Mus musculus: one gene and its partner. The protein of the gene in region 2 interacts with the protein of the main gene of each other region in a pairwise test. Links are inferred from orthologs where the notes say so. Each region holds a gene or a part of one and is shown on either strand. Other genes may lie near its edges.

What was found.
Region 1: the proteins of Fxr2 (region 2) and Fbp1 interact in binary tests that used the Homo sapiens proteins (3 or more experiments, as listed by UniProt). The two-hybrid records come from large-scale screens. The link is inferred for Mus musculus from reciprocal best matches to the Homo sapiens genes FXR2 and FBP1.

The regions. Positions count from the first base shown.
Region 1 is NC_000079.6:62,874,705-62,878,075, forward strand, and holds part of Fbp1 (fructose-1,6-bisphosphatase 1), read right to left. Parts: exon of another isoform or gene 2,360-3,371; intron 608-2,359; coding exon 445-607; intron 1-444. UniProt on the Homo sapiens protein: Catalyzes the hydrolysis of fructose 1,6-bisphosphate to fructose 6-phosphate in the presence of divalent cations, acting as a rate-limiting enzyme in gluconeogenesis. Plays a role in regulating glucose sensing and insulin secretion of pancreatic beta-cells.
Region 2 is NC_000077.6:69,632,139-69,635,871, forward strand, and holds the start of Fxr2 (fragile X mental retardation syndrome-related protein 2), read left to right. Parts: upstream 1-832; 5' UTR 833-1,179; coding exon 1,180-1,260; intron 1,261-3,261; exon of another isoform or gene 3,262-3,381; intron 3,382-3,733. UniProt on the Homo sapiens protein: mRNA-binding protein that acts as a regulator of mRNAs translation and/or stability, and which is required for adult hippocampal neurogenesis. Specifically binds to AU-rich elements (AREs) in the 3'-UTR of target mRNAs.

The DNA.
Region 1 (3,371 bases), on a different chromosome or scaffold from region 2:
CTCCCCAGCCTGTTTATCACTGAGTCCTACAGCATGCTCGTGTGGAGCTAGATGGTGGGGCACACAGACGATTGCTTTTTCCTCTTCCCCCACAAGGCACTCTGAGCACCAGAGAATCCCAGTGCCTGAGCCAGGCAGTTCAGCTTGGCTGTGGGTCTAACACGAAGGCTGGAGATTGGTCATGATGAACAGGCAACTACCAGAATCAGGCTGTAATGATCCCTTAAACACAGCAGTGACAGAGACGTACCCTGGAGAGACGGGGAGAGCAGGATCAATGCAACCTCTGGGACTAAGGTAAGAGGAGAGGTTTGGGAACACAGAAGAGCAAGAGAGCTTGGTAATCGGTAGAAATCTAGCTTAGAGAAGTGAATAAAATCTTCCATGAAGCTGAGAAGGAAAATGGCTGCAAGCAAGCCTTCAGAGGCGTAAACACAGACCCACCCTCTTCTCAGGTTCGATTATGATGGCATTTGTGTTTTCTTCAGACACAAGAACACAGGTAGCGTAGGACGACTTCAGCATATTGATCACCAGGTCATTGGAAAGTATGTCCAGCTTCTTTACTTGATCCCCAGTCACATTGGTTGAGCCAGCGATACCATAGCTAGAGGGAAGGAAAACCACAGAAAATAAGCCAAGGGCACCAGAGCCTCGATGAGAGCAACCATGAATGGATCTGGACGGAAGGCAGACATGCCAGGCATGCCCGGTTCAGGAAGGGCAACGGAGGGTGGACTTGCCTGGCGAGGCTGGCAGAGGGGAGCAGAGACACTGTTTGGAAAGCTCAGTGCCAGTGCTGAGGTCACACAAGCCGCTGGTCAGATCCATGTTTCCTAATCTTTTTCCCCCGCTATAGTGCCCACTACAAAGCCTTTTAAAGCAATCTTCCCCACTCCCCCATGAAACGTACACTTTAGAATACTGACAAAACACTGCCCTGTTTCCAGACTGTGTGTTTGTTTCTGTGTCTGTGCCTTTTACAGAACAAGGGGAGATTTCTATGTTTTTATTTTGTGCAAGAACCAGTGTTTAGCCCCACGGGTGGAAGTCCAATGCATCAGCTGAGAACAAGGAAGAGAGTCTGGGTTGGAGGGAGGGAGCTGGTGTCTGAGCTAACCTGAGAGACACCGTGGGGAAAGATCGGATGCCAGCACCCAATCGACTTCACACAGGCAAGCAGGGTTGCTGGCAGTGAGCTGCCCGCTCTAACTCCCAGCAGGGGCTGCTCCTAATGGTCTTCTAGGTCTCTTGGTAGAGTCAGTCCTCCAGGGTGGGAGGACCAATGAATTTTGGTTCTTACTGTCTGTGTGAGCTACCTGCAAGTCAGTCATTGCAGAATTCCCAGAACCGGAGACATTCATCCAGAATGCAGCCTGGCCTGCTTGGATGCAGGTTTAAGAAAGACACAGGAAGGAGGTGCAGGACACAGAATGGATGTGAGGGTTCAGCTGTAGAGCTGGAAATGGTTTAGGAGCGTGGTGGCACCCTGAGATATCTAGGATCTGGTTGTCATGACTTCAGTGACTGATTCCTTCAACTCTCTCTCTCTCTTAGACAAGGCCTCTCAGAGCTCTTATTGGCCTTGAACTCTATATAAAGGAGTATGACCTTGAACTTCTGATCCTCCTGCTTCTGCCTCCACACCCAAATACAGGAACTGAGGATGGAATCCAAGGTTTTGTGTTTGTTACTCAAGCACTCAACCAAGTGAGCTACAACCCTTGCTTCAACTGCTGAGAATATACCACCAGCCCCCAAACCTAAATTGCATCTGTATGACTTGGAAAAGGACAGCCCAATCTAGAAATGACCAAACAAGGGGCCCAGTTGACTCATTTGTCAGCATCAACCACCATCGCTGTCACTCTCTTCTAGACTGTAAAACAGTCCTGCCCTCTAGCCCTTCCACCTCCTCTCTTCTGCCTTGTCTCTCCTGCTTCACTAACACCAAGCAGCCTGTAGCCTGGCATTCTGTCTCTGGCTTTGGGCCTCTTTCTGAGCTCAGCTGCAAAGCCCACCCTGGTGGAAGAGGGTGTCTGGACACTTGCTGGGGATTACTATCCCTAGCACTTCTGCTGCACTGACAGCTTTTCTCCCTCTAGCTTGAAGTTGCCACCATCATGGCCACTGCTAAATCAGAAGGGGAACAGTACTGACAGGTGAAGTTGTTAGCATAAAGATGCCAACAGCAGCCCCCTTGTGCGAACCTCAGCTCTGTGAATCCCTGGTCTCTGAGTCTACCTCTCTTTCCTGCGTTCACAGAGGGAATGGCAACTCCCATGTGAGGCTGCCATTAGAAAATACACACACACACACACACACACACACACACACACACACACACAGAGAGGGGGGGGGAGGGAGGGGGGAGAGAGAAAGAGAGAGAGAGAGAGAACTCAGCACAACCCTTGGCACCTGGGCAGGGGAGTGGGAGGCGGGGCGGGTACAGATGGGAACAATTCTGGGGAGCCTAAAAACTTGGGGCAGAGTAGATGAAAGCCCAAGGCAAGAATTAGGATTTGGGCACTGCAGACAGTTTATCACAACTATGTGGAGAATCCGAAGCAGAACTGAGCTTCCAAGGTAAGATATGGAAGACACAAACACAGTACCAGCTTTGACAAGAACCTTTTTGTCCACACCACCTCGCTGGTGAGTGACAATAGAGTGCCTGGGAAAAGGAGACACTGCAGGTGAGACGCGAAGCCAGGGTAAGGGGGAGGGGCCAACTTGCCACCTCCCACTGGGCCCCACCTCTTAAAGGTACCAGCGTTTCTCAACACAACCTGCATACTGAGGACTAGGCTCCTGGCACAAGATCCCTTGAAACTTAAACCACAGCAAGGTGAGTTTGTGGGGAGAATAGACCTCCTACTCATGGGCCTCAGTCCCCCCAGTGAATTCTACTTAAAAACCCCAGCCTTCCTAAAATCTACAAATAACTTCCTGGGAACCTACTGTGCTAGGGCAGCATTGCTGAACAGGGCAGACTAGATCCCTGGCCTTAGGGAGCTTAATACTGCAGTGAGAAAAGACAAACAAGAAAATAGCTGTTTCCAAATGAGCGTGATAGGTAAGAGAGGGGCTACGGATGTCAGGTAGCAGGTTAGGTGATTAATTTAGATGGTCAGAAAGGTGCTCGATGCTAGGCTTCGCTCGATGCTAGGCTTCCAACTGCATGAACTTTTTTGTTGGTTGTTTTGGTTGTTTTATTTTTTGTTTTTGAAAGAGAATATACTCCAAATCCCCGAAGAAGCCTGAACCAGTCGACAATGACTACAAAGCAAAGGCACATAAGCAATTCAGAGGAAATAGCCCATTTTTCTAGAAGAAAGGGGCTGCATGCTGTATAAACATCTGTAGAAGTA
Region 2 (3,733 bases):
GTTTTTCCTGTATTGAATCCCCTCAGAATTTATGCATCAAGTTATGTGGCATTTTGTTTTTCATACGGCACTAAATTTACTAGAATACTAGTCAACTTAGGGCAAGCATGGTAATGACATGGCTGTAATTTTTGCACTTGGGAGGTGGAGGTTGGAGGACCTATTCAAGGTCATTCCCCCACTACCTAGTTAGTTCATGGTCAGCCTAGGACACAAGAGACCCTGTCTCACAAAACTTAAAAAAAAAAAAAAAAAAAAAAAAAAAAAAAGTCTACTTAAGCCAACAACAGTGACTCTTGATTCTCCTATGGATGCAGAGAGTCAACACATGCGCATGGACACCAAAGCCCAGCGCCTGCGCACTGGGCAGTTTTTGCCTTTTGGTTCCCCCCCCCCCCCCCTTTTTGGAGTGTGCGCACCAAGAAAGACAAAGGTGGTGAAAGTGACCAAGCAGTCATTCGGGCGCATGCCCATCCCTAAATTGCCCAGGCTCCATGGGGCTCACTTTGTGGAGGCGGAAGTCCAATCCGATGCAGCGAGCGCGGCCCCCCTCTCCCTTTGATTGGTTTGCTTCCAGTGTTGTGGGGCGGGGAAAGGAAGGGACAGGGACAGTGGAAGGTTGGAGTGGTACAGAGAGCGTTCGCCTCGTTCTGCGCAAGCGCAGAGAGGCGACCAGGAGGGGGCGTGAGAGAGTGCAAGAGAATGTGGAAGCCCTGACGCGCTGGCGAGCGGGAGCTGGGTCGCTAGCCTAGACGCCTGCGCCTTGGCCCTCCGGCTCCGCGCGCGGCGGGCGGGTGCCCTGTGCGCCTGCGCAGTAGGCGGCGGCAGCAGGGGGAGGTGGAGGCCGTGGAGCGGCAGCGGCGGGTCCCGGGACCGAGGCAGCAGCGGGGGCGCCGGCGGGCGGAAGCTGAGGTGACGAAGGCGGCGGCGGCGGCGGCGGCCGTTTCCCTCACGGTGGCGGAGACCAAGGCAGCGGCGGCGGCGGCGGACGGGGAGCGGCCCGGCCCCGGCCCCCTGCTCGTCGGCTGTAGCAGGGCCGCCGTGGGGCCGGCCCGGCTCCCGCCCCCCGCGGCTCCCCCTCCGGCTCCTCCTCCAGGGAGACGCCGGGGACCCGGCCCGGCCCGCACTCAGGGCTCTGTTTCAGCTGCTGCCGGGCCAGTCGGAGGTGGTGGCGGCGCCATGGGCGGCCTGGCCTCTGGGGGGGATGTGGAGCCGGGACTGCCCGTCGAGGTGCGGGGCTCCAACGGGGCCTTCTACAAGGTGAGACGGCGCGTCGACCCGGGCCACCCTCCTTAGCCCCCTCCCCCAGCCGAGGCAGGGAAGAGTGGAGCGGGATCGAGTTTCTGGAGCTTGGTCTTGACCCTTAGAACCTTCGACCCACGTTCCCACTCGAAACCCTCCCGTGGCGATCGTGGGAGTTAACCCTCGTGCTTTTATTTTGAGCTCGCTGTTACACCTGCTTTTATCAGCTGAAAACATGGCCATCAGGTCATTCCTGTGCGGGGATGGGAGCCCCGGGTCCCTTTGGAGAAAGCCCTTTTCCTAGCTTCTAATCGACTTTTCTTGTTTTTTTTTTTTTTTTTTTTTTTTTTTTTTTTTTTTTTTTTTAGTGTAGGCGATACTTCAGCTTTTAATCACATCACCCCTGCAGCCCAAGCACATGGAGGATTCGCATTCTTTTCCTACATGACCCCCTTGGGAAGGTCCACTGTCCCACATTAGGTCTTCAGGGAGCCTTCTGCCTACTGGCTCTAGACCATTTGCTCAACTTTTGGTCTTAAATTCCTGTTCCCAGGCTGACAAGAAATGGTCAAAACCCATCTGTGTTATTTAGCATTAGCATCTTTGGCCTCAGGTTTTTATCAGCCAGCCATAAAGTGGATTTGTTGGACAAGTTTGTCACCCACCACACCTATATTCCAAAATCACCTATGAGGGATGGATTCACGCTTATCTCTTTGACTCTAGATATATTTAGGTCATTCCTCTATCTTCTTGGTAAGTTTAAGCTTCACTGTCTCTCAAAGGCCATCTCAACAAGTTCTTATTCTAACAGATTTCTGCTTGTTGACAATCCTTCTGGAAAGAAAAAAAGTATCTTTCAGAATTGCTTCTTTAATCAGCTTTTTCTTTGCCTAAGATTTGATTCCTGTGAACTTTTTTAAGGGGTGTGGTTGGGACAAGATCCCCTCCCTGGCTGCACTTGAACTCTTCCTCAGCCTAGGATTACAGCTCTGGCGTTACTGGTTGAGCCACCATGCCAGACCAGACTTTTGTTTTTTCCTTCTTTCTATCCACCACCCACCCCATCTTCTGTATCTGTCCTGAGTCTATTCTGGATCCCACGCCCCAGATATTTTCTTCTTCTGATCAGTGGGGTTCTGAACATCTTTTGACTTTTATGAGTGGAATTGTCCCGGACACGTTTGGTCCCTCTCTTACTCTTCATCCTGGAGAGAAAGAGGAATTTCCATAGCATGAGATGGGTGAGAAGAGCCCCTTTTTCTTCAGGTTTCCTCAGGTTGTCTGTCCCCCTACCCTAGTAGAACTTCTACTTTCTTATGCCCTTGGAAATAACTTTCTCTGACTCTACTATGAAATTGTATCTTTTTTGTAGCTGAAAAAAGACTTAGGTTTGCCCTACCCCTGTAGATGGTTCCTACCCTCACTTCAACTGATATGCTAGTTATCCATTATAAAGGCCAGGCCATTTTTTTCCCTTTTCTGATCAAGTTCTTTACCCAGTGCCTATGGGTGCACATACCTATTAGCTTTAATGCAGCTTCTCAACTAAGTCTCGGTCTTTTTAGCTTGGTATTTCTGTATTCCTGTGTATCCTTGATGATGTCTACCTGTCTAGTCTGTGTATAGCTGAAGAAGGCTCCTAGCTGATTCTGTCACTTTCCTAACTCTTGGTACTTTTTCTTCAGACCAGAACAGTGTCTCTAACATTTCTGTTTTCTGTAGCAAAAGTCTTTAATTCTTTTGGCTTCTGAGAGGACACATTAATGTTTTAATATCTATTTCACCCACATTTGTATTACCTTTGTTAAAACAGTCTCCTCAGGCTGGGTATGGTGGTACATACTCTAACCCTAGTACTTAGAAGGCTAAAGTAGGATTGTTGAAGTTCAAAACCAGCATGGGGAATGGAATCCAGTCTAAAACAACCCAAACAAACCCAAAAAGTACTCTTTATTATGCTCTCTTTTCCTCGATATGTTAGTCTTCATCTGTATCCTTCTAACATCAAAATGTTAAAAATTCCAAAAAAGCTGTGTGTAGGTGTGTGTGTGTATATACATACATACACACACACACACCTACACACACACCCACCCCCGTTCGATTTCTGGGTACAGGATTTCTCTATGTAGCCGTGGCTGCCCTGAACTCAAACTCTGTGGGATAGGTCTGCCTTTGTTGAGTGCTGGGATTAAAAGCATCCACAACTACTCTTAGTTTGAAAAGTGGTTCTTAAATTGAGTATGAGATCAAGATAAGATATTTGCATTTGGTTTAAGGAAGCTCAGGAGCCATGCACAGCTGGGACAGATGAGTGCTCAGTTCCAATTAACTGTATGACATGGTTGGGCTGGGACATGAATTCTGTTACACATATGGGTATCCAACAGAAAGTCTCTCTTTTATCCTTTTATTCTGTGGGCCAGAGCAGTGATAGATTTGAGGGAAGCAGGGACAGGATTCTTTGATAGTATAGAGTTAATAAAAG